Linked DNA regions of Oryctolagus cuniculus. The protein of the gene in region 4 binds, or shares a complex with, the protein of the main gene of each other region. Links are inferred from orthologs where the notes say so. Each region holds a gene or a part of one and is shown on either strand. Other genes may lie near its edges. The genes, in order: ARID2, DPF3, SMARCC1, SMARCD1, DPF1, PBRM1 and ARID1B.

What was found.
Region 1: SMARCD1 (region 4) and ARID2 share a complex: the UniProt entries of both Homo sapiens proteins name them as parts of the SWI/SNF-B (PBAF) chromatin remodeling complex. The link is inferred for Oryctolagus cuniculus from reciprocal best matches to the Homo sapiens genes SMARCD1 and ARID2.
Region 2: SMARCD1 (region 4) and DPF3 share a complex: the UniProt entries of both Homo sapiens proteins name them as parts of the BAF complex. The link is inferred for Oryctolagus cuniculus from reciprocal best matches to the Homo sapiens genes SMARCD1 and DPF3.
Region 3: SMARCD1 (region 4) and SMARCC1 share a complex: the UniProt entries of both Homo sapiens proteins name them as parts of the BAF complex. The link is inferred for Oryctolagus cuniculus from reciprocal best matches to the Homo sapiens genes SMARCD1 and SMARCC1.
Region 5: SMARCD1 (region 4) and DPF1 share a complex: the UniProt entries of both Homo sapiens proteins name them as parts of the neuron-specific chromatin remodeling complex. The link is inferred for Oryctolagus cuniculus from reciprocal best matches to the Homo sapiens genes SMARCD1 and DPF1.
Region 6: SMARCD1 (region 4) and PBRM1 share a complex: the UniProt entries of both Homo sapiens proteins name them as parts of the SWI/SNF-B (PBAF) chromatin remodeling complex. The link is inferred for Oryctolagus cuniculus from reciprocal best matches to the Homo sapiens genes SMARCD1 and PBRM1.
Region 7: SMARCD1 (region 4) and ARID1B share a complex: the UniProt entries of both Homo sapiens proteins name them as parts of the neuron-specific chromatin remodeling complex. The link is inferred for Oryctolagus cuniculus from reciprocal best matches to the Homo sapiens genes SMARCD1 and ARID1B.

Annotation. Positions count from the first base shown.
Region 1 is NC_091440.1:136,620,721-136,624,220, reverse strand, and holds part of ARID2 (AT-rich interactive domain-containing protein 2), read right to left. Parts: coding exon 3,397-3,500; intron 3,159-3,396; coding exon 301-3,158; intron 1-300. UniProt on the Homo sapiens protein: Involved in transcriptional activation and repression of select genes by chromatin remodeling (alteration of DNA-nucleosome topology). Required for the stability of the SWI/SNF chromatin remodeling complex SWI/SNF-B (PBAF).
Region 2 is NC_091451.1:18,897,046-18,900,545, forward strand, and holds part of DPF3 (zinc finger protein DPF3), read right to left. Parts: intron 457-3,500; coding exon 296-456; intron 1-295. UniProt on the Homo sapiens protein: Belongs to the neuron-specific chromatin remodeling complex (nBAF complex).
Region 3 is NC_091441.1:101,097,169-101,101,299, forward strand, and holds the start of SMARCC1 (SWI/SNF complex subunit SMARCC1), read left to right. Parts: upstream 1-1,331; 5' UTR 1,332-1,449; coding exon 1,450-1,650; intron 1,651-4,131. UniProt on the Homo sapiens protein: Involved in transcriptional activation and repression of select genes by chromatin remodeling (alteration of DNA-nucleosome topology).
Region 4 is NC_091442.1:53,425,896-53,429,395, reverse strand, and holds part of SMARCD1 (SWI/SNF-related matrix-associated actin-dependent regulator of chromatin subfamily D member 1), read right to left. Parts: intron 2,255-3,500; coding exon 2,119-2,254; intron 440-2,118; coding exon 317-439; intron 1-316. UniProt on the Homo sapiens protein: Involved in transcriptional activation and repression of select genes by chromatin remodeling (alteration of DNA-nucleosome topology).
Region 5 is NC_091449.1:16,363,328-16,366,993, reverse strand, and holds the end of DPF1 (zinc finger protein neuro-d4), read right to left. Parts: intron 3,611-3,666; coding exon 3,560-3,610; intron 3,454-3,559; coding exon 3,334-3,453; intron 2,395-3,333; coding exon 2,282-2,394; intron 1,805-2,281; coding exon 1,693-1,804; intron 1,612-1,692; coding exon 1,541-1,611; 3' UTR 501-1,540; downstream 1-500. UniProt on the Homo sapiens protein: May have an important role in developing neurons by participating in regulation of cell survival, possibly as a neurospecific transcription factor. Belongs to the neuron-specific chromatin remodeling complex (nBAF complex).
Region 6 is NC_091441.1:97,173,613-97,176,517, reverse strand, and holds part of PBRM1 (protein polybromo-1), read right to left. Parts: intron 1,564-2,905; coding exon 1,493-1,563; intron 1,386-1,492; coding exon 1,169-1,385; intron 1-1,168. UniProt on the Homo sapiens protein: Involved in transcriptional activation and repression of select genes by chromatin remodeling (alteration of DNA-nucleosome topology). Required for the stability of the SWI/SNF chromatin remodeling complex SWI/SNF-B (PBAF).
Region 7 is NC_091436.1:10,839,573-10,843,702, forward strand, and holds the start of ARID1B (AT-rich interactive domain-containing protein 1B), read right to left. Parts: upstream 2,801-4,130; 5' UTR 2,140-2,800; coding exon 337-2,139; intron 1-336. UniProt on the Homo sapiens protein: Involved in transcriptional activation and repression of select genes by chromatin remodeling (alteration of DNA-nucleosome topology).

The DNA.
Region 1 (3,500 bases), on a different chromosome or scaffold from region 4:
AAACATGTGTGTGTAAATCAAACATAGAAGCACTCAAAAAAGACAGAGGCTCAGAATTTTCTAAATTCTCCAAATGATGTTAGGTAGATGTTCTCTACCTTGAGATTACTAATTTGGGTCACAAAAAAACCTCAAAGATCCAACCATGTGTCATGGTTAACAACTGAAAAGTGTCCTATTACAGCCGGAGAAAAAGCATAGGCCTGCCCGAGTGTGAGCGAGCGACCACAGCATCACCTCCAGGCTGCATCAGCGACCGAGAACAGTGGGTAAGAGGCACACCGTGGTGCGGTGACTCACCTGCGGGACCACATTCTGTGCATACGTTGGTGGATGCTGCTGCTTCTGCTGCGCAGCACTTTCTATTGCTACTTTAGCTACAGTGCTTGGATCTGCTCCTGCTGGCACAGCAACCATTGTGGCACTGCAGCCAGCGTTGTTGGGGTCACTGATTGTAACAATCCGAACTCCGACTTTACTGGGAATTCCTGGGACTGTCTCCCTGTCACTGTCCTCTGCTGGCCGCTTGACAGTTTTGCACTCTGCTGTGCCATTTGCAGACCGAACGTCAGATGACAGGGCAGAATGGGACACTCGGGGTCCTGAGTGAGGAACTGTTAGGATCTGATGCCCCTGTATAACAGAGGTTGTAGAATGTGGTGAGACAACTACACTTGGGCGTTGCTGAGGCACATCTGAATTCAAACTTGAAGCTAGAGGTCCATTGGGCAAATCAGTACCACTAGACTGCTGTGCTGCCAGGGCTGAAGCCTCCTGTATGCTGCTTCCAGATGGTGAACCACCCAAAGTTAATACAGGTCCATTAGAAATCCTTTCTAATTGATCACCTTTGGCAGTATCTTGCTGAGTGGCATCTAAAGTCCCTTGTGGTTCCATTGGAGATATCTCACCATTTCCTACATGATTGGAAGTTTTGTGATTTGGAATGTTTTTGCTTAAATGAGAACCATCTCCTTTATCAAAATCACAGATTCCATTAACCAGGGGTTTCTTCAAATCACTTTTGATATCCTGCACGTCCATCTGTTCTGAGTTCTGTTTTCCAGATGCTCCATTCTCACCGAAATCTGTCGATGGCCCATTACTAAAGAGTGAGCATGGACTGGCCTCACTCTGAATTTTCCCTGAGTTTGAAGGAGGTAGACTTGAGTCACTGTACTTTCTCCCATTTAAAAGACTTCCCACCTGTATGTCACTTTCCTTTGTATCCCCATTGCTGGTGTTTGTAGTTCCTCGTCGGCAGGACGGGTTCTCCATGACTTCAATTTTACGTTCATGAACATGTAAACCTGTTGCTTCCTTTGCTTCCTCCTCCTTTTGGCAAATTATTTTGTCACCTCTGAATGGGGGAGTAGCAGTAGTACATGATGATTGTCCGGCTGGAGATGCCTGCGTGGCCGGAAGCGTTTGCACCTGAAGCCCAACTCCTGCCTGCGTGCCACTCACGGTGATTCCTGCGGGAGCGATGAGCTGAGCTGCATTTCCCTGACTCACAGTTGCAGTTGCAAAACTCGTATTTGGCACAACTGTTATGGTTACCTGGTTGCCAGATGTCCCTTGAAAAATGGTTGCGGGGCTGTTCGAGATCAGCGGGCCTGGTAATATCTGTAAGTTCGAGATGGGCACAGTCTGCACTCCCCCTGTGGGTGGCATTGCACTTTGGACCAACTGAACATTTTGCTGCCCAACCAACAGCTGCTGAGCTGGAGTTTGCCCCTGCACTCCAAAGCCTGCTGGTTGGTTATTGGCCACCTGATAGACCACCTGAGGGCTAGGCGCTCTTGCATTGTTAGGGGGAGGAATCTGTGGAGCTGGGAGGATAAGCTTACCACCTGGTGTTGAAGGACCACGCTTTGGGAGCAGCAGCTGTTTTATCAGACTCGACTCACCAGAAGCAGGCTGCCCAACTCCTGCGTTTGCTTGCTGAGGTTGAACTTGCATCTGGACTTGTGGCTGCTGAACTTGTACTTGTACCTGCTGTGGTGGGGGTGCTGGTGAATGCTGCTGCTGTTGCTGCCTTTTGACAGACAGCATTTGACTGACAGTAGGGGGTGGTCCCTGTGACTGAGGGGTGGAAGATGATGACAGGGCAGTAGGGACCTGGTTATTAGTAGATGGGACAGGTGATGGTGAAGAAGATGGAGTTATGTTTGGTTGTCCAGTTAGCTGAACTGCCTGACCAGCCGGAAGAGCTGTTGGATTAGCAAGAACAATCTGGTGAATGGCTGGTGCATACGTTGGACCTTGTTGAGCTGGCTGACTTACAATCACTACACTTTGTTGGGCTGGCTGCTGTGGCTGTTGAATAGGCTGCTGGACCACTGTTGATGAAACTTGCTGAGAAGGGAGAGGCTTTGGTGCAATGTTCTGAAACCCTACCCTGGAGGGCTGCGGACTTGGGACACCAGCAATAGTAACCATTTGTCCTGCAGCTACCTGAAAATTCTGCACTGAAGTTGCTGAGACAATATTGGATGCAGAGGTTGTTACATATGGTGGGGGTGCTATGATGACAGTGTCCTGTGGCTGGCTACCAGCTGACGTCGGCTGAGATGAAGTCTGCACAGGCTGGGGTGAGGTGGTGATTAGCTGCTGACCCTGTGAAACTGCAGAAGTGCATGCTGGTATATTCTGTACTCTGCCAAATATATGACTCTGTGGGACCGCTTGCTGAATTACTGTAACAGGGGTGCCTGAAGCTATCTGTCCTGGTACCACTGTGTGTAATGCAGACGGCTGTGGGATTACAGATGGGTGGTGTAGCAAAGTCTGGGAGTTCACAACGGTAACAGGTTGTGGCCCTGCACTAGGATTCTGCACCACAGAAGTCTGGGGAGGCCCTCCTCCCACAGCAAGGCTAACAGGAACTGCTGTCTGGGGCACAGAGTTCTGGATTACTGTCGCCTTAACAACTTCACAAGAAATTGGAGCTTTATTTTGAATGACAGTCACTGGAGCATTCTGCTGCTGGTGGGTATGAACTGAAGGATTTGGTGGAATTCTTGAAACAGTCTGAGCCACAGTATGAACACCTTGTACTGGAAAAGACATTTGTGTTGCAGTCAAGCTTGAAGACTGGTTGGTAACAGGAGTCCTCTGATAATGGTTTCCTACAGCTTGTGATCCATGAGGGATTCCTGAAAACAGGGGGAAAAAAGCCAAAATTCAAATGAAATGCACTGGAAGTCTGCAATTAGGACTTACTTTACTTAATGCAAAAAAATACCGTTAAAAAATTAATATTCAGCAACTTCAAATCATATGATTATGAGAAAATAACAGCTCAAGTAAGAAAGCACTACCAGAAAAACAAGGAAAAGCTGTACACTTTAAATTTACATAATACAACGCTTAAAACACAATAGAAATTATTACCTGCAGGTGGAGGAGCTGGAGACCCGTCAGGAAGAGAATCGACACGAACCACAGGCGTCGCCGCTGGCTGCTGCTGGTAGTACATCTGCACGGGGAGTGGGAGG
Region 2 (3,500 bases), on a different chromosome or scaffold from region 4:
GCTGAGGGGCAGAGGTCTGGTGACAAGGCCTCTCGCCCAGATCTGCGTGCAGATTTCCAGCCTGGGACCCACACCACAGAGGGACAGGGGAGGGCTGCTCTCCACGGGCCTGGCCTTCTCTTGGGGACACATATGCAGGATGCCTCCGGAATTCGGTGTCCCACCCAGGCCTAGTGACATTCCTTGGAACCCGCGCCAGGACCACGTGCAGCCCCCATCCCACCCGGTGGGTTCCCCAGCCCTGTCCTCCCGGCTCCAGCCAGGCGGCCGCACACCCAGGGGCGGCGCGGCTCACCTGGCCCTCGGTGCCGTTTCTCCATCCAGATGTAGCAGTTGTTCTGGGCCACCCCGGTCTGCGAGTCCAGGAAGGGGAGGCGCACGCTGCGCTCCGCGCACAGGCGCGAGTTGTAGCTCCGGCAGTGCTCGATGGCTTCCTTGTAGAACTGGTCCCCGAGCCTGCGGGAGACAGGGACGGAAGGCATGAGGCCGGGGGAACCCGAAACAGCCCCAGAGGCAACCCGACGCCCCCGCATCCATCTCCCGGGAAGAATCTGTGCGGTTATGAGGATCAAGACGAAGCGCACGGAGCGCAGTGCCAGGAGCGCCTCCGCCAGGTTCTATTTCCAACCCCAAACCCACCGGCAACCCGAAGCTCCATCAACAGACAGCCTGGAGCGCAGCGAATGAGCCACCAGGAACAGTGACGAGGCCGCGCCGTAGAAAGCATGTGGCCTCTCTCCGGAACAACATGCCGCGTGGGGTCTGCTTCTAGAATCCCCCTCCCAGCCGTCGTGACCCACGCCCTGTGCTCTGCAGTCACAGGCAGACGCTCCAGAGGAACCCAAGCTCCCAGCCAAGCTACCCGGATTCCTGCCACTGCGGGAGAGAAACACTCTGACCAGAGGCTGCAACTCGCCGCAACGCAGAGCGATTCACAGGGGAACCGGGGCAGACAGGGACAGACACCCACACTTTGAAACCACATCCTTCAAGAAAAATGACTTTCTCTGATGGGAAGCAAACAAAAGCAGCATTCAAAATAATAGTTGAGCTCAGAATCATTCAACTCTTGGGAGTTTAAAACACAAGTAGCGAGACCTGTTTTGCTGGAGTGTGGATCTGATTAAGCCCAGGAAATTCTACATTTTCAAGTCTCTGGGATCCACAGACATACGGTGATGCTAATGTTAAGAAGGTGTCCTTTTGAAGACCAAAAACATGCCATTGACTTAACTAATCTAATGTAAAGCACAAAAATAATCAACGAGATCAAATGCCTAATAAATAAAGCAGAGGCACGTGGTGGAGGGTAATAAATGGCTTAAGGAAATAGAAATATAATAACATAACTTCCAGTGCTGTGGCTTGTAGGCTAAGCCTTTGCCTGTGCCATCAGCATCCCATATAGGTGCCAGTTTGAGGCACAGCTGCTTCACTTCCCAGCCGGCTCTCTGCTATGGCCTGGAAAAGCAGTAGAAGATGCCCCAAGTCCTTGGGCCCCTGCACCTACATGGGAGGCAAGGAAGAAGCACCTGGCTCCTGGCTTTAGATCAGCACAGCTCTGGCTGTTGAGGCCATCTGGGGAGTGAACCAGCAGATGGAAGACCTCTCTCTCTCTCCCTCTCTCTGCCTGTAAATCTCTCTCTCAAATTAGTAAATAAAATCTTTTTTTTAAAAAAAAGAAAGGTGTGAAATTAATAAATTTTTTAAAAAAATAACATCTGCCAGGTAAATTTGAACTTCTTGGGGAGGGGAGGGAGGTGAGAAGGGGAGGAGACACAGGAACTGGAGGTGCAAAGGAGAATCAGGTCGCTCATTCTGAACCAGCATTGCGAGTCCTTTTTGGCTCTATTGTAGATTTGAGAAAGTCAAAATCTAGGAGAGAAAATCTCTGGGTTAAAAATCTGGTTTTTCGGCCGGCGCCGCGGCTCACTAGGCTAATCCTCCGCCTAGCGGCGCCGGCACACCGGGTTCTAGTCCCGGTTGGGGCGCCGGATTCTGTCCCGGTTGCCCCTCTTCCAGGCCAGCTCTCTGCTGTGGCCAGGGAGTGCAGTGGAGGATGGCCCAGGTGCTTGGGCCCTGCACCCCATGGGAGACCAGGAAAAGCACCTGGCTCCTGGCTCCTGCCATTGGATCAGCGCGGCGCGCCGGCCGCAGCGCACCGGCCGCGGCGGCCATTGGAGGGTGAACCAACGGCAAAGGAAGACCTTTCTCTCTGTCTCTCTCTCTCACTGTCCACTCTGCCTGTCAAAAAATAAAAATTAAAAAAAAATCTGGTTTTTCTTAACCAAAATATAATAAAGAAAGCCAAGTTGGGCTTTTACAATTCTTTTTTAAAAACAGACATAAAATTGATCATCTTAATCATTTCTAAGTATACAGTTCAGTGGTATTAAGTACCTTCACGTGGTTGCACAACCATCACCACCATCCAGCTCTAGAACTCTTCATTGTGCAAGTGAAACTCTACCGCTTAAACACTAACTCCTTATTCCACCTTCTCCCCAACCCTGGCAAACAACACTCGACTTTCCCTGCCTTTGATTTCAGTTCATCTAAGCACCTTACTTTTTAAAGTTAGATAATATTCCATTGTCTGTATAAACCACATTTTGCTTATTCATTCTTCTATCCATGGTTGCTTCCACGTTTGAGCTATTGGGAATAATGGTGCCATGGACTCTGGGCATATAAGTACTTGTTCAAGTCCCTGCTTTTAATTATTTCGGGCACACACCCAGGAGTGGGATTGCTGGATCATACGGTAGTCCCATTTTCAATCTGTCAAGCAACCACTCATATGATTGTCCTTAGTGGCTATCTCATTTCACATTCCCACCCACAGTGCACCAGGCTTCCAGTTACCCCATCTTCACCACTACTTGTTAGAAAGCAAAGTTCTAAATGAAGTTTTCTATACTGTTTTTAGAAAATCAATGGGTCAGATTCTATCAAAGAGTTCCAAGCAAACATCTTACTCTGGGAGAATACAACTAATCAACTTTTTGACAAGCATCTGGAAAAAAAGAAAGCTTTGGTTTTTTTCACCCCCTGAAGATCCTCGTACTCCCAAGGAAGGCATAGCATGCTCAGAAACTGTGCCGGTAGTTGCAAAATCAAAAAAATAATCAAATTAGAATAGTCACACAGCTGGAAATAAATTTGGGAGGGGAGGGTGAAAGCCCATTAAAATGCTATAAAACTGAATGGCACATAAGCTGATGTAATCAAAGTTGGTGACAAGGATCACCAGATTGATCAAGAATAATAATTTCCTAGAAAATGTGCATCTGTGTCACACCAGCTTAAATGCCTCCTCAACCCAGCTGATGTAGCACAGTGGGACAAAACTTACAACAGCTCAGCCCAGGCCGATGGCCCACCCTGTTCAGGGTGACCTGACTGTTCCAGCTCCCCTCCAGGAATCATGCTGACCACACTGGCCATGCCACAATGTCAGCCACACCACACTGATGAGAACTTGCAGAACTCCTGATGGA
Region 3 (4,131 bases), on a different chromosome or scaffold from region 4:
CTCACCGGATTTTCTCACAAGCACTTGGTCACTTTCTGCTCTGGGATCATAGCATTATGTCCATAGCTCTGTTAGGGATAACCATACTTGGATAAAAACTCAATATGGGGCCAGAATTGTGCACAGTGGGTTAAGCCGTGGCCTACCTCACCAGTATCCCCTATCAGAGGGCCAGTTGGCATCCTGACTGCTCTGCTTGTGATCCAGGCAATGGAAGATGGCCCTGAGTAGTTGGACCCCTGCCCTCAGTGTGGGAGACAAAGACAGAATTCCAGGCTCCTGACTTTGTTATAGCCACTTTGATAAACAACCAGCAGATGGAAGATAGTTTTTTCTGTCTTTCCCTGTCACTCTGCCTTTCAAATACATAAACCAATCTTAAACTCAAAACCTCCATTCCTGCGGGCCATACATTCCCCAAATATTTGTTAGCTAACAGGCAGAGTGGCTGGCGTTGTGGCTCAGTGGGTTGAGCCGCCAGTATCCCATACAAGCAACCTGTTCTAGCCCCAACTGTCCCACTTCCCATCCAGTGCCCTGCTGATGCGTCTAGGAAAGCGATGAGTGACCCGGATGCAATTTCAGGCTCCTGGCCCAGCCCTGGCCGGTGCAGCCATTTGGGGATGGAAAATGTCTCTCAACTCCGCCTTACAAATATTTTAAAAACAAAACAAGAACAGGCTGTTTCCGCAGCGCGAAGGGTACACCTGTGAACAAGATTAGGTTCTCATGCAGTCTATCTGCGCACACACACAAATAATAAAAACATCGGGTCACGTTCAGGGCTTCGCAGAACGTGTGAGCCACGGCTCAGGGGCCGGCCTTCGGAAGTACTTCCAGGCTGTGAAAGCGGCCGAGGCTCATGGGTGAAACCACAAAGCAAGACCCAGGAGGTCGCCGAACAACCCAGCGCGCAAAGGCCATAGGCAGGAAGGGGCGCGCGTGGCCGGGGCCACGAGGGGCGCGGAGGCCGCCCCGCGCCGTACAGGGTCCGGGCGAGCAGGGCGGGCGCGCAGCCGCACCGCGCCCAAGCGCCAAGGCCCGCAATCCGCAAGGGCTTCTCCCGGGCACTTATCAGCCCACGCCTTCCGTCGGCCAGCACAGACCCTCCTGGCGGCTGTCCACCGCGTGAGGCGCGCACACAAGAACCACAGGAAGTAGAGAGGCAGCCCCCGTGGCGCGGCGGAAGAGGCGGGCGGAGGCGCTGGCCCGCCGGCAGGGCACTGCGCAGGCGCGCGCGCGTGCTCGCGACGGTTACGGCGCCGGGGCCAACTCGGGGCGGGGTCGGGCTTCCGCGCCGGAAAGGGGTTGGCTGGGCGGGGCTGAGGGACGGCGGTGGTGGTGGTGGCGGCGGCGGCAGCAGCAGCGGCTGCGCGCGCGCGCGGGTGCGAACGGGGAACGCTGCGAGGGCCGGGCCGTGCCGGGCGGTGGGGACGACTGACGGCGACGATGGCCGCGGCAGCAGGCGGCGGCGGCGGCGGGCCTGGGGCAGCGGCAGGCGCCGCGGGCGCGGGGGGTGCGGCGGCGGCCGCGGGTCTGGCGGTTTATCGACGGAAGGACGGCGGTCCGGCCAGCAAGTTTTGGGAGAGCCCGGAGACAGTGTCCCAGCTGGATTCGGTGCGCGTCTGGCTGGGCAAGCACTACAAGAAGGTGGGTCCGCGCGCCCTTGGGGACCGGGAGGTCGCGCGGCGGGGGCCGGCGGCGGTCCCGGGCTTGGCGGGCCCCGGGGCCGCCCCTCCCCCCGCGCGCCACGAGGGACAACAAAGGCCGGCGCCGGGGCTGCCACGCCCCCGCCGGCCGCCCTGGGCGCCCCTCCGGCTCCCGCTTGGCTGCCGGGGGTCCCGGGCCTCGGCCCTGGGAGCCCGAGCGCTCGGGGCGGAAGCTCCTGCGGGCCTCGGTGCGCGACAGCCGGGCGGCGCGTGTGTCTTTTGTTGGCCGCCTCAGGTGTGGGAACAATGACCCCCCCCCCCCCAGTACCCAGCCGGCGTGGGCGCGCAGCCTCGGGGTTCGTCCCGAGAGTGGCCTCCGAGTGGAGGAGGACCCGGGTTTCGCTGCCCGCGGCTGGTTTGCCGCAGGCCTGTGGACGCTTGTCCCGGGCTTCACGTCACGACCAGTGGCACCGAGGAGAACTCGTGTCCGGTGAAGAAACGACGGGTTTTGGTTGTGCCCGTCTGCATGCTGCGAGTTCGAGGCTGTGTTCACCTGTGCCCTTCAGCCAGGCCTTCCCTGAGGACCCGCAATGTACAAGCGCACCCTACTTCGTGTCACCTTTATTTAATTCCTAGTGCTGGCCGCTGCCTGAAATTTGTGCTTGCTTGTTTCTCCTACCTTTGGGATTAAATTCTGCTGAATCATAGGTTTTCAAAGTTGTGACTTAACCCTTTGTTCAGAATTTTGAAAACCCTTTAAGTTTATGCTTCATGTAAATATTCCCAGAATGATTGCCTTGTAAGGTGGATGAAGCAGACAGCCACTCTCTGCCTCGAACTTCCCAAGCACCCTCTTTGACTTGTGCTCTCCCCCAGGGAGCAAGGGCACTGTCAGGCCTGTACCTGCTCTGGAACACGGTCGGTGCTCGGTGCCTCCCCTGAGCAGTTACTCAGTAAATACTTGCTGAACGAATGAAAAGATCGAGGTGTCTAGGAATCTGTTAGGGGTCTGCAGCTCAGTGAGTCTGTCTGTTTCAGCAGTCGTTAGGTGAGGGCAGGGATCTTGGGTTCCTTTGAGGTCGCTCACACTGATGCTTTCTTCAGAAACCACCGTTCCTGCTCTGAAGTTTGAGGAAGTGAGAGACAGTAGTCACATTTTTGGATGCATTGATTTTTTACCCCCTTTGAAGTTACATATGGGACTGTAGATTTTTCTCTACAGTATTGCTTTCTGTTGTAGTGACAAATTGGTCACTTTGTATATGGAATATAGCTTCTGGAAGTGGCTCACGGAGTTGAATATGTTCCAAAAATGTTAAATTTTTTTTAAAGTTGGTAATTTTCTCATCCAGTGCTTTGGGTCTTAAGGTCAAAGAAGATTTAACAAGAAAAGATTATCAGGAGTCATATTCCTTTGAAAATCAAGGAAAAGAGTGGAAAAAAAGTCAATGATAGTTATTTTGACTTCTCCAAATAATCAGTGTATTAATTTTGGTCCATTTTAAAGAGGGCTGCTTTATGCCTGGGTAATACCTCAGAAGTTTGAGTGACTGGGAAAGTAGCTAAGAGGCAGACTGAAGGATTTGACCCACAGCGTTGAGGCCACTAGGCCAGTGTTGACACACTGTTCCTGAGGCTTTAAAGACAAAGTCAAAGTTAAGTTTGATGTCTCAGGGCTTTGTAGAATCAGAATGTATTTCTTGGGCCTATCCAGGTTCAGAATTGTATATATCTCTTATGCCTGACAGCCAGAATTCTTTCAGCTTCCGGGAGTCATGTTGAAGTGGTAAAAATCCTAGTCAGAAGGCTCTTTGATTCTTTTTTGCATACTGTATTTCTGCTTGGTTTGTGTTTTGGTGGGTTTGAACTAAACATTTGTTTTGCATTTAGTAATGCATTTTCAGAGCAGTTAAAAAAAATTTTTTTTTTAGTACTTATTTGAAAGCGTTAAAGAGGGAGGTAGAGAGAGAGGTCTTCATCTGTTGATTCACTACCCAAATGGCCGAAATGGCTGGAGCTGGGCTGAGCTGAAGCCAGGAGCATCACATAAGGGCTGCGAGCACTTCAGGTGGCGGCTTTGCCTGCTTTGCCACAGCACTGCTCCAAGGCTAAGGTTTGTGGTGTGTGTTTTTTTTTTTTTTTTTTTTTAAGATTTTATTTATTTATTTAGAGGTAGAGTTACAGACTGAAAGAGGGAGAGACAGAAAGGCTTTCCATCTGCTGTTTTGCTCCCCAAATGGCTGCAACAGTTGGAGCTGAGCCGATCCAGGGGCCAGGAGCTTCCTCTGGGTCCCTGACGTGGGCACAGGGGGCCCAAACACTTGAGTTATCTTCTGCTTTCACAGGCCACAAGCAGAGAGCTGGATCAGGAGAAGAGCAGCTGGGACACAAACTGGTGCCTATATGGGAAGCCTGCGCCACAGGCAAAGACTCAGTGCTGGCCCCGCCCCCCCGGGCTAATTTTTAAGCCGATGATTTTGTA
Region 4 (3,500 bases):
CAGTTCTAATAATGTCTTAACTTGGTTCCCTACTCTAATCACACTGGCCTGGTTTCTCCAGACTGACGGCTGCGCTGAAGGCAGAGCCAGGCCTTGCACCGCAAATCCCCGATGCCACAGAGCACGGACACTAAGTCAGCACCCGACAGCGTGCCTCTGCTTCCCCACTTCACTGTAACCTGGACCCTGGGGCGTGCTCAAGCAAACCTGGGTGCACTCTCTCTTCCCTGCCTGGCTCTTCCACCAGGTGCTCTGCCATAAAGCAGACGAGTGCCTCGCAGATCTGAGGCCCGCGGATCAGCCCCGGCTTCCTTACCTTGAGGTCTCGGCACTGGGACTGAAGCCAGTCATTGATGAAGCCCTGGGGGTCTCTGGCAAAGCTTAGCATGAACTCTCGCTGCGTCTTCAGCTGGTTGATGGTTTCTATCGTCTCATGGATCTGAAAGCGAGATGGAAGCTATACCAGTTTCAAGCTGGACAAACAGAATGAAGCGGCACCTGATGTCTCTGTGTGTCACTCCTGGCCTAGATCCAGCTCAGAGCCAGCGCCACTGCACAGGGTGCCAACTGCTCCGGCCTTGGGGCTCCCCAGCAGGTGATATGCACCTGTTTCTGTCTCTCTGTTTACCTCCTGTGAGAGAAGTTTCCATTCTCGACTCCTCAATACATACCATGGGCACAGCTGCAAAGAATACTTAATCCAAGCAGAAACAGGCGCCAAACAACTGTGAGGTGGAAAAGGAGGCGCGCAGGGCTGGCTCAGCAGGTGTCTGGTTCCCAGCTCTCTCCTTGTTCTGCACACTCTTCCTGGCAATGTCTGTCTTGTACGTCTTCTGTGTACACCGACAGGGGAACAGCTCCCCAGTCAGCAGTCCATTTCCTGAACGCCAAGCAGATTGGCTACTGTCTCGACATTGCAAGGCATCTGACGCTCACCACATCCAAAACGAAGTTCATGGCCCTCTCCCCGCACCTGCTTCTCCTCCTCTGCTCCCAGCATTGCCCATCACTGCCACCAGCCTGGGAGTCCTCTCAATGCCTCCCCCTCAGCACTCCACCCCTCACTCCCATCTAAACAGTGGCCAAATCCCTTGATTGCACTTGAGGCCCCGTCAAGCCTGTCGACCCGTTTCCAGCCTCACTGGGCACGCCTTATGTTGAAAGCCCCAATAGCTCACACACGGATTACTGTACCAGCCTCACTGGGGCTTCCGGCGGCTTCCAGATCTGCCCCTCTTTCTACTTCCTGCCAGTGATCGCTCCAGATGCAACAGCGCCCCCACCTCCACTGGGGATGCTCGCCCCAGCAGACTCCCGGCCTCCTGTCCAGGACGACGCGCAAACCAGTTCTCCCTGCACCAAAGCTTCATGATCAGGCTCCTGTTTCCCTGCCCAGCACCCTGTGCTGTGTCTAGAGCCCTAACAGCTTGTTCTTCTTGAACACGCCGGGCTCTCTCTCACTTCTGGAAGTCTATAGAGCCCACTCCATCTTTCTGGACTGCCCTCTGCCCCTAAGGTCCCCGGCCCTGCTACCCTTCCACCCCTGTGGGAACTTCCATGTGGTCGTTCAGGGTTTACTAGTGCATCAGCTCTCCCTGTTCTCCCCTGGATCCCCAGTGACTTCACTGTCCGGGACTCTGTCTACCGTTAGTAGGAGAATGGAGACAGCAGCGACAGCAGCAGGATTTCCCACTCTTGTTCTTACACGCCGGAAACACACTCATGTCTTTACACACACGATTTCATTGACTCCGAATGGCAACCTCCGAGGAACAGGTGTTAATGGTCCCCACTTCACAGATCAGAAAGACGGAGGCTTAATGCTATTAAAAGGGGCAGCCAGAGTCCAGAGGAGGGGATTCATGGGGAGGTTGACTCCAATCAGCACCAACCACGGCACCTGACAGACGCTGGCTGTCCACGTATTGGGGAACCCTCAAAAAGATCCCAGGAAACGCGCATGCAAAAGCACTCCGATGCATCTCCGAATTTCCTCACGTCACAACAGATCTACCTCTCAATTCCGTCCTTCATGAAGTGCCCTTTATTCAGAATGAATACCAAGCAGCAAAAGGTGGCCTGCTGGCGACAGCCACGCTATCTAGGCGGGGCCCCTACCTTGTTGTCCAGGGTCGCGATCTCCTGCTGGCTGGCAGTGGACAGCAGGAAAGAATTCATCTGAGTCTTCAAGGTGTCATCCACCTCCACGTCAATGTCGTAACAGGCTGTCTTCTTCTGATCATTCGGGTCAACACTGGGGAGGGAAGCAAACGGCCTGGTGAGGGGTTTGTCCCAAGATCTGACAACACAGCATCAGGGACAGGAAAAGGAGCCGACTCCAAAAGGGCCTGAGGACTTTCAGGTGTGACAGAACCTTCTCGCCTTTCATTGCAATGGCAGCTTCCCAGTGTACACAGGTGCCCAAAGTCTTCAAACTATACTTCAAATGGCTACAGTTTACGAAATATAAATTACTCCTCGACAGGGCTGGCTTTTTTACAAAGTCAAAGGTAAGGAACGGGTAGTTGGCACAGTGATTAAGACAACACTTGGGGGTGGCCAGTATTGTGGCACAACAGGTAAGGATGCTGCCCGCATCCCATAGGAGCGCTGGTTTGAGTCCCAGCTGTTCTGCTTCTGATCCAGTTCCCTGCTACTGCCTGGGAGAGCAGAAGATGGCCCAAGAACCTGGGCCCCGTACCACCCACGTGGGAGACCCGGAAGAAGCTCTTGGCTCCAGGCCTCAGACTGACCCAGTTCCAGCTGGCGAGGCCATTTGGGGAACGAACCAGCAGACGGAAGACATCTCTCCCTCACTCCCTGTTCTCTGTAACTCCACCTTTGAAACAAACACAACTTTAAAAAAAAAAAAAAAAAAACCCTCTTATTTATTTTGAAAGTTAGAGTCACAGAGGGAGGGAGACAGAAAGAGACCTTTTATCAGCTGGCTCAGTCCTCAGATGACTGCAACAGCCAGCACTGGGCTAGGCTGGAGCCAGGAGCTTCACCTGGGTCTCCACATAGGTAGCAGGGGCCCAAACACTTGGGTCATCTTTCTCAGAACACTGGCAGGGAGCTGGATCGGAAGTGGGGCAGCCGGGACTCGAATCAGCGTCCATATGAGATGCTGGTGTCACAGGAGGTAGCTTTATCCACCTAGCCACAGCGCCAGCCCCAACCTTTGACGCTGAAAATAATGTGTACACACACACACATCCCTAACTTTAAGCACGGGAATACAGGACAGACCAGCTCCAGTGCCAACTTATAGGGTATAGGAACTGCTACCAGGTGAGTGATGGTTCAGGCCCCTGACTGGATAGAATCTGCAGCAAAGCGAGGAAGGCAAGACGATAACTACAGAGAGACGCTGTCTAACTACAGAGAGACGCTGTCTAACTACAGAGAAATGCTGCTCTGAGGAGGAAGTACTCTTCTTCACTCCGTATCTGCCTAGAAGTGCCTCGCTCTCTAACTTGGGAACAAGAAAAGTGAACAGA
Region 5 (3,666 bases), on a different chromosome or scaffold from region 4:
CTCTCCCCTGATGGTCTGTGGCCCGCTTCTCCCTCACTCTCCCCCCACACACACCCCTAAACCTCAGTCTTTCTCCTGATGTATCACCCTGAGTCTAGATGTTTCCTTCTGCCCACCCCTAACGTCTCCTCTCGCTCGCTTTGCCCCGCACCCAGGTCAGGGAGCCCCAAGTGATGGCCAGTCTGAGTGACACCTCTAGATCTCCAGCCCCGGCCACCCCAGCCCTCCCTCCCCCAGCCCCTGTCACCTCCCTCCTGGCTGCCTCCCGCTGCAGCTGCAGCAGCCCGTTGCCAGGGCAACCACAGCTGGCTGGGTGGGAGCCCCCTCCACCCCATCCCCCTTCTCCTTTCCGGCTAGGCTGGGAGGAGCTGGGACAAAGCCAGAGAGGGGCGGGTGCGGGGGAAGAGGAGCCGGAGGGGCCGGCTCAGTTGCTTCTCCCCCAGCGAGGGCCCCCCATCCCCGTCGTGGTGACACCCCACAGCAGGCTGGAGAACAGGCAGTCGTGGCAGAGGGGTCAGGCCCGGTTTAATACACAGAACAAGTTAATTCACAGCAGAGGCAGGCAATAAAGGAGACTCTTTACAAGGAGGGGTGCTCCTGGATGGGGGGAGACCCCCAAGCCCACCACCTCCCCCATTTGCAGTCTCAAGTTCCCTTTTTTTTAAACCCGAACGACAAACACACACAACCACAAGAAACAACCACACCCCCTCGCCATCCCCAAAATGGCCAGCGAGGGTGGCAGGGGCAGCCCGGCCTGGCCGGGTGGGGAAGGGGGGCCGGGGAGGGGGAGAACGAGTCCATTGCAGTCTGTGCTTCTCATTCCAGCGGGCGCTGGGCAGGGACCCGCCTTGCCCCGCCGCCGGGCACCACCCCCAGCCCTGGCGGGCATGCGGTGGGCACAGGGCAGGGCTGTCAGGGAGGGGCGGGAACAGAGTTCGGAAAACCATGGTTCACATCATGCAGTATCCACGGTGGGCACCTGGAGCGGGCGGGGTGGACACCATGCCCGCTCAGCGTGCTCACGACGGGGGGATGGTGCCCACCTTGGGTGGGGAGGTGGGACAGCTGCAGCTGCAGAAACGGGGGGGGGGGAGGGGGCGCCAGACAGGAAGCTGGCAGAGACTGGTGCCCAGTGGACGCGCTCGCAGTGCCCCTCCCTCCAGCCAGGCCTTAGCGGACTCTGTATATATTAATTTCTTTTTTTTTTTTTTTTAACTTTTTTGTCTTTTTCTTTAGAAAAAGGCTCTGTCCAAGCCCCTGGCTGGCATCCACCCCCCTGTGCCCGCCCAGAGGCGGGGTATGGCTTTGAGGGGAGCGGAAGTTCCTGGTGCCCATTTGCCAAGGGGTGGGGAGGGAGGCAGGGAGAGGGGCCCTACTGGGCCCACCAACCCACAGGGCCAACATTCCGCTCGCACAGAGGGGAGGGCGGCCCGGCCCCCCCACCACTGTGGGACATCTGGGTGGCGAGGGCGAGAGGAGGACCCGGAGAGGCAGGTGGGAGCACCACCCCAGAGGCCCAGGAGAGGCAGAGCCAGGCCTAGGTGAGGGTGATGTAGGCAGAGGCCTTCTCTTTCAGGTGCCGAAGGCAGAGGTGACAGCTCCAGCTCCCTGCAGGGACAGCCAGAGGACAGAGTCAGGCCCAGGCCCGGCCGCCCCCTCCCCCACGCGCGCGCCTGCCTCTTCTCTCACCTTCCGGGGGCTCCGCCATGGGGGGACTCAGGCAGTACATGTGGTAACCCCGATCGCAGTCGTCACAAAACAGCAACTGGTCCTGGGGGGTGAGACCCGCCCAGCTGGCACCCTGGGGGCACGGGCACCAGAAACCGGGGTGGGGGGCTGGGGCAGGGGCTCGGGTCCCGGGGGCAGGGGGGAAGCAGTCCCTTGCAAGAGGTCTTGGCACCTTGGACTCGTGGCTGGGCGGGGACGCCTGCAGGCTGCCGGCAGGCCACCTGCGCTCTGTGCATCTAAGGTGACCTCACTGTCCTCTGAGGTGACCGGGTAGCAGCCCTGGGAGCCCTGGGAGGCAGGCACTACCATTGTCCTAGCCGGCGGCCCTGGGCGGCCACGTCCCCTCTCTGCGCAGTGGGCCAGGGCACCTACCTCTGGGTCAGAGAGGAGGTGTGGAGGGGAAGGGGCCGGGCCAGCTAAAGGACGCAGGCTACCAGTAACAAGGCATGCACATGACTGCTGTTCACGCTCAGGGGCTCCGGGAAGGCGTTAGGCGCCAGGCGGGGAGGGCCGCGGGGGCGTGTCCTGGGGGAGGTGGGGGGGCACTCACGTCGTTCTCCGAGGTGCCACACAGGCTGCAGGATTTGCACTCGATGCACTGCCAGCGATAGGTGCGCACAGCCGCCGTCATGTTCACCGTGAACTGTAAACACGAGGGGTGTCCTGGGGGCCGAGGGCGGGGTGCGGTTAGGAGGACCTCGTCCCCTGGCGAGGAGAGGGTTCAGCCCCGACCCCCGCTCATTAGGCTGGAGTGAGCTGCTGTGGTCCACAGACTGACCCTGCCCCTGCCCCTGCCCTGCCCTCAGTGCCCGGACACCGGACGGCAAGCAGCATTACCGTGGCCATCACCGGCTCCTACCCCGCCGCCATGGCAACCACACTGCTCCCAGAATACCATGGCAACCGCATTCCATTACCCACAGTGCTGTGGCAACCACTTTCTACCGCCCACAACACCGTGGCAACCACAGTCTGTTAACCAACGCGCTGAGGCAGCCACGTCCCGTTACCCACAACCACAGCCGCTCACCGCAGTGACGTGGCGGCCACATCAGCCCCGCCTGCCACAGCTGGGTCCCCACACCTTGCTTCCATGCAGCCAAGGCCCATTCCATGCGACACCCCAGCAGCCGAGCTGTGACTGACTGACAGTGGTGTGCAGTGCTAGTCTGTCCGCCACTCCCCGGGGGCTGACACCCAACACACCTGCTGCCCGCACAAGGACACCCCATTCTACCAGATGGCCGCGGCGAGCCCAGGTCACCACCCACCGTGTGGAGGCAACCACAGACAGGCCCCTGCCCACAAGTCCATCTTGGGAAACCACACTCCGTTAGCCACGGGTCTGCGGCGGGCACAGCCTGGAAGCCACAGTGGCAAGCCATTACTCCGCTACCCACAATGCCTTTCTCACTTCACTCGGTGTCATGATAAGCACATGGCACTCCCCCAGTGCCGTCCAACCACACGCCACTATTCCCCAGTCGGCGACCCCAGTGGGTTTGCCCAGCCTCAGCAGCCAAGTTAGCTCCAGGGCCCTGCAGCGCCCCCGTGCGCCCAGGGTGCTCTGGGACCCGCCATCTCCGCCCGGGACAGGATCACCTGATCGCCCGCAGTCCGCGCAGGAGATGAGGTCCTCTGGACACCCCGTCTTCTTGGAGCCACCCAGGCAGAAGTCGCAGTAGCCGTTGGGGATGACGGTGCCGTCAGGCGCCTTCTTGGCTGAAAGAGCAGAGCGGGGCTGGGCACAGGGCAGGCGGGGCGCCCGGCAAAGGCGGCTGCAGGGGGAGCACGCTGGAGTGGGGGGGCACGCAGGGAGCGGCCCTACCTGTGTGTTTCCTTTGTGCCTCGGGGACCCAGGCCAATTCTTTGTAAAACTCTAGGGGTGGGAGGGACAGAGAGAGGGGCTCTCACCGTCTCACCCTGCCCCCAGCC
Region 6 (2,905 bases), on a different chromosome or scaffold from region 4:
TTAACTACAGAATATTTCCAAGTAAATTTCTTGTATCATTTTACTAGGCTCTAAAAGATCCAATCATTATTTTATTATAGGCGCCCCTAGTATTTACTAATTACTTTGATGCTAACAAAAATGCCTAAAAAGGTACACATGTGAACAAAAGGAAAACATAACTGCTACTCTTTTTCTTTTTTAATGAAGAAAATAATTTTATTTATTTGAAAAGCAGAGGGCAAGAGAGACAGGAAGACAAAGAAAGGAAGATACAGAATCTTCTATCCAGTGGTTCACTCCACAAAAGCCTGCAACAGTTGGAACTCAACCAGGCTAAAGTCAGGAGCTGAGAACTCAACCCAGTTCTTCCTCATTAGTGGCAGAAACTCAATTACTCTAGCCATCACCAATGTCTTTCAGGGTCTGCATTGGGAGGAAGCTGGAATTAGGAAGTGGGAATCAGAGTTTGAAGCCAGGTACTCCAACATGGGACGTAAGCATCCTAAATTGCCTTCTTAATTTCTAGGCCAAATGACTGCCTCTGAATAATTTTTAATTTACCCAAATAGATTTACACTAATGCCCAACTGCCTGAAAAATATTCAGATTCTGCCGGCGCCGCGGCTCACTAGGCTAATCCTCCACCTTGCGGTGCCGGCACACCGGGTTCTAGTCCCAGTCGGGGCGCCGGATTCTGTCCCGGTTGCCCCTCTTCCAGGCCGGCTCTCTGCTATGGCCCGGGAGTGCAGTGGAGGGTGGCCCAAGTGCTTGGGCCCTGCACCGCATGGGAGACCAGGAGAAGCACCTGGCTCCCGGCTTCAGATCAGCGTGGTGCACCGGCCACAGTGCGCCAGCTGCAGCGGCCATTGGAGGGTGAACCAACGGCAAAGGAAGACCTTTCTCTCTCACTGTTCACTCTGCCTGTCCAAAAAAAAAAAAAAAAAAAAAAAAAAGAAAGAAAGAAAAAGAAAAAGATTCTATTTGCAAAGTGATGTCTGTGACAAAACTAAGCTTGAAATTTGGCCACAAAACCCCTATTTCAGTGTGTGATGTCAATAGGCAAAGAAGCTCCAAACTAAGACATAATTTATTTTACTTGTGTAAGAAAGAGAGACGCTTACTGTAGAAGATGCCAATAGCAGTGAGGAGGCTTTGAGAACGCAGGTTTATTTGGAAGGACTCTTACCTGCCAGGGTCTGGTCCCACTTGCTAATGCTGTTGGACTCAGCACTGAGTCCTTCAATGTATTTCAGGTAGGCCTCTGAGTGGAGCAGTCGTTGGGTCTTTGGTGGGGGAGCCACAAACATGGGTGTTGTTGGCTGCTGTATGACAGGGGGGCCAGCTGGATGTGGGCCGGGATATGGAGGTGGTGCTTGCTGCCCAGGAGGTCCCAAAACTCCCACCTGAAAGAGCACAGGACCACATGGTGAAGCAAAAAGATACTGGGCACATGTTCTAAGAAGGAAGATGACTAGAATTCTAATGCAGAAAATCAAAATGGGAGGCTCACCTGTTGTCCATAAGGACTTCCACCTGGAGCTGGAGTCCCTACCATAGGGGCCACTCCTTGGTTCATGACACCTATAATGCAGAAGGCAATGCACAATTAGAGGCTCTGGGTTGAGATGACTGAAAAACTACTGTCTGATAAGAAATGATGACATTCATAATGCCACCCTATGTACCTCTGCTCTTGAGTGTTTGTGGACAGGAACCCTAAGCACCCCAAACAGGATTCAAATAGAAAACTTACGTTCTTTTGTTTCTAGGTACTTAAGGCACAATGCTAGTGTAACTTGTTAGATGCACATCCACTGCTTATGGCTTAGAAAGGATTTGAACTCTGCACAAAACCCTAGTACTTCCCTAGGTGAGCATTAGTCAGAATATACCTCTATTATTGAGGTATTTTTCTTCTGACAATAGATTGTCCTATAAATAGGGCCTGTGTTTAATTTCAGCAGGAATGGCACTGAAAATCAGGCTTAGCAGTAAGCAATATGCTAGGATACTAGGGACACAAAGGAAAAGGCTATGGAAACAGTGAATTAAATTTGTGGAGTCTGGAGGTGTAGCCTTGCTGTCTGTTCATAGGCCAGCAACCAGCACCTGGCTCTAACCGGAGTTACTAGTGTTGGCAGAGAGAAGATGCTTCCATCTGATAGAGAATCACTCTGAAAAGAGATCATGTGGAAGTGGGGTAGCCTTGCTGCTAAAACGACAAAGGAACAAAGACTTAATGCGCCATTATATTTGTACTGTCTCTGGGAACAATCAGGTAGACTTCCCTTAGTGAACGCTCATGAACAGTTGTCATCTCACAGGCACTTGTTGATAATAATGAAATGTCCTAAATTTAGTGTCTGAGGCTATTTTTATCTCAAGGCTCTCCATTTGTGATTCTGATAAAACACAAACAGGCAAGGAGCCCAGTTTATTAAAAACTAACACACAAAGCACAACCAAAGCTTAATAAGTCCCGCTGGCTGCGCAGGATTCAGAGAAGCTACCTCCAGCGTCTATAGTTCCCCTGGATTAAAAATGCTGGTATTTTGATCAGCCAAAAGTAGTCTATTATTCTAGGGTCACAACTGCTAAATGCCACTTCCAAGAAGTATTAGGCATTCTTTTATTTGTTAGAGGAAAAACAAACTAAGAAACAAGCTTCTACTTTAAAAGCAAGGATTTTTATATTCCAACACTCTAAGTGTACCTGGATCACCACAGTAGGATCCTGGTGATTATTTGTGAATGCATGGTTCATCTGGTAAGCTGCCCCACTCCATTCTAGACACTCATCCAATTTGGACTCCCCAACACAATGGAACTCCCTAGACTGCCTCTGTCACTGCTCTGCAGGGCAGCACACACAAATCCACAGAGTTCTGCTCCCCCTGTTCATCTGTGTCGTGCCAGGGGCACC
Region 7 (4,130 bases), on a different chromosome or scaffold from region 4:
GGGCGCTGTCTCGGAATCCCGTCACCACCCCAGCGCCTCGGGAGAGCCGGCGGGGCGAGGCTGCGGGTCCACCGGGCACCGGAGCGCCCGGCCCGGCCCGCGGCCGCGGGCGAAGCCCTGCGCGGCCCGCACGGCGCGGCCCGGACTCGGCGGGCGGACGCTCGCGCGCCCGACCTCGGCGGGAGGCGGCCGCCCGCGAAGATGGCCCTGGGCGCCGCGCCCCCGCCGCCCCCCAACCAGAAAACTGGGGAAAAGTACGCGGCAAAGAAAGAAACTCGGGCTCGCGGCGCGGCGAGGCCGCCGGGCGGAAGCAGGCCCGGCCGGCGCGGGGGTTACCTGGGATCTGCCCATGGTCGGTCCGGGGGTGCCGGGACTCATCGCCGGGTGACTCCTTTGTTGCGCGGCCGCCCAGGCCGGGCTGGCAGCGGCATACTGGGCGCCCATGTCCTTGCCCAAGCCCATGCCCGCGGCCGCCTGCTGGCCGCCCGCCGCCGCCCCCGCCGCCGCCGCCGCCTGGGACTGGGGCTGCGACGGCGGCGGCGGCGGCGCGCTGGGGCTGCTGTAGTCGGGGTAGCTGCCGCCGTAGCTCCGCATCATGGGGCTGGGCGAGGTGAGCAGCTGGTTGAGGGTCGGGGTGGCCCCCGACGGGTGCTGGTTCTGCCCGGCGAAGCGCTGGAAGCCCCCCGCCGCCGCGCCGGCGGCCGCCTTGCTGAGGCTCGCGGCCCCGCCGCCCCCGGGGCCCATCATCATGCCGCCGCCCTGCTGCCGGGGGGAGCTCAGCACCCCGTACCCCGAGGACGAGCCCCCATAGCTGCCGCCGCCGCCGCCGCCGCCTCCTGCTGCTGCTGCTGCCGCCGCCGCGGCCGCCGCCGCCACAGCTCCCGCTCCTGCTCCTGCTCCTGCTCCTGCTCCTCCTCCTCCTCCTCCTCCTCCGCTGCCTCCTCCTCCTCCTCCGCCTCCGCCGCCGCCGCCGCCGCCGCCCGCGCCGGGCCGGCTGTAGCCCGGATAATGGTTGTACTGGCTGTTGGGGTACCCTTCGTGGGAGTTCTGCAGGGGGTCCATGCTGCTGGGGGCCCCGGCGGCGGCTGAGGCGGAATGCATCATCCCCATCCCGGGGCTTTGTTGTCCGCCATGTTGATCAAAGCAAGGCCCAGCGCGGCCGCCGGGGCCGCCGCTAGCAGGGGCAGCGCTGCCATAGTAATTATTAAACTCCGAGACGGCCGCCTGGCCGCCGCCCCCGGGCACGGCGGCCGGCGACTGCTGCGCGCCCAGGGCGCCCAGGCCCGGGTGCTCGTAGCGGCCGCCCGCCGGCTCCCCCATCTTGGGCGGCGCGTCGTCCTCGTCGCCCGGCTTGCTCAGCAGCGGCTGGCCCGGGGGGTCGGCCTGGCTGCCCGCGGCACTGTCCTTGGCGCCTCCATGTTGCGGCTGCTCCATGTCGGGGCCCGGCTGAGGCGCGCCGCCGCCGCCGCCCGCGCCGCCCAGGCTGTTGTTGGAAATGGGATGTTGTTGCTGCTGCTGCTGCTGCTGCTGTTGCTGCTGCTGCTGGAACTGGTTTAGCTGCTGCTGTAGTGCGTGGTGGTGGTGGTGATGGTGGTGGTGGTGGTGGAGGTGGGCATGGTGGTCGTGGTGGTGGGCATGGTGGTGGTGGTGGTGGTGGGGCGGTGCGGCGGGGGCCTCGCCAACGGCTTTCAGTTTGTGGTTGGGGAGCAGCCCCGTCTCCATGGCCGAGCCCGGGCCCGACGAGGAGGAAGAGGAGGACGCCGCCGCCGCCGCCGCCGCGGAGGAGGAGGAGGAGGAGGACAGCGCGGCGGCGCTTCCAGCCTCCTTGAGAGCCGCCTCCGAGCCGCCGCTCTTGGCGCTGCTAGTGCTGGCGGCGGCGGCCGGGGCCGCGGCGCTCGCGTTATGGGCCATGTTCAGCTCGTGACGGGGGTGCAGGGGGTGGTGGTGCACATTATTCAGGCCGCCGCCGCCGCCGCCCCCCAGCATGGGTCCCGGTGCCGCCGGTGCCGCCGCCGCGCCGCGCGCCCCCGCCTCCAGGTCCCGGGCCCCGGGCGCCGGCCGCGGCCCGGGGGGCGCCCGCCGCTCGCCGCTGCCCGCCCGCGCCCGCGCCGCCGCCGCCGCTGCTGCCCGCGCGGCCATGATCGCCGCGGCGTGGCGAGGCCGGGCGGGCGGCGGGGGGAGACAATACCCCCACTTTTCAGGCCGCGGCCCCTCCTGCGCGCATCCACGCGGCCCGCCGGGAAGCCGCCGGCCCCCTCCCCCTCCGCAGGCCCCGCCGGAGCGCCGGGCCCGGGGCACGCCTTACGGTCTGGGCCTGCTCCCGCTGTGTGCTTTCACGGTGAAAGTTTTTAGTTCAGGTTTAAACGAAACTTTTCTCTTTTCCTCTCTAACCCGGATATGGGTAAATACACGACCGGCTGAGCCTATCGGGCCCAGCATGGCACGAGAAGGAGCCGAGCGAGCTGGAGCAACTATTATCCCACTTCTCTCTGATTGCTCCTGTGCACTCGCAAAACGCGGACTGGACTCGGCGCGGGCCGCAGCCGCCCGCCCGTGCCGGCGCAGCCTCGGGGGCCGGGGGCCGGGGGCCGGGGGCCGCGCGCAGGCCCGGGCCAAGGCCGGCTGGGCAGCCGCTCGGAGCGCGGCGGCGAGAGGCGGCCGGAGCTGCACTTTCCCCTCGTGCCTCCGTCTCCTTGCCAACCGGGCGTTCGCGTGTTTGTTTTCGCGTCTAAAAGGAACGCTCCAAAGGTGGAAAAACGAGTCTGTGGCGAGCAGACAAAAGAGGGAAGAAGGGCTGGGGCACGAAGTTGTCCGTGGGCCTCCGAGGTGACGAGGAGCCCACGGAGGAAAGAAAATATTTGGGCGATCTGCAAAAGCGCTGGCTCTCACAGGAGTTATGTAATTTTCCAGAACGTTGGCCTCCCTGCCTTGATTCCTGGCCATCGGCGTGATTCCCACAACTTCTTCCAACTGCAGAATTCAGGAAGGGCTTTCGGGGAGGGTTAGCCGCGTTCGAAGAGCACAGAGCCCTGTACACAGCAGGTACTCAATGGATGCTCACCGATGCCGGCACCTGCCCCAGAGATAATGGCTACGTGGCTGTTTTTAAGGCACCCTAGATTCCTGTGCAAGGAGTCTGTGGGGAGAGCTCGCACCCCTGTGTCCTCTCTGTCTCGGGCACACGCAGCCGAGGGTCACGCGGCACACAGCTTTCCCACGCAGATGCCACTATTTGTCCAAAGTCGAATCCCCCCCCCTCCGGTGATGTAGTAGCACCTTCCAGCGTTATTTCAGAGGGTAACGGGCACAGAGAACCCTCTTGAGAAAGTTTCTTTCCAAGTAACATGAAACAAAACTCAATAGATGTTAAATGTAATATAAATACAAGATCAATAACTATAAAACAGTCCAATCTAATGTAAAAGCAGAAATAGTACACAGTTGTGTATTGCAACAGTTTTTATTATGAGTTTACCACCTAGTATCATTATGAGTATCTTTAGTAACAGTACTTCTTAAGAAGTACTCTCCAGCTCTCCAGGGGTCACACTCCCAGAAATGAGATACACGATTTTGGTAGAGTATAGTTTTCCAAAATCATTTCATTCCTCAGCTTTCCATAGCAAGCATTTCGGCTTGTTTCGGATGCACTAGTTATGTATGCTTGACCAAGTGTAAGCATGTTACCTGACTAGAGACAGATAGCCAGACGGAGCTACTGGTGACTGGTGGGGGCGGGGAGCCAGGCGCACACCCAAGGGTCGTTATTTGGAGAAGAAACAACAAATTGCCATTCTGTCCAAACAACTGGAAAACGGGTAAGAGACAATAACAGAACTGTAAGAGGAAGTCATGCCAAATCATCAGTTTGTGCCAAGAGAACACTACATCTCTTTTAGTGGGCCTTTTGACATTTTTTTCCCTGGCTTTTCTCTATATATTCAAATACATACTAATTATACGTATTAACCACATATGTTGCATTTTAAAGTTTTCATATGCAAATATAAATGTTTTATGTATCTATATACATGTATTCTAAAATCAATCTTGTTTATGCTTCAGACATTGATAATCAAACTATATGCAAATAATCATACAGTGCTTTTATTCAGATTGATAAGCTAGAT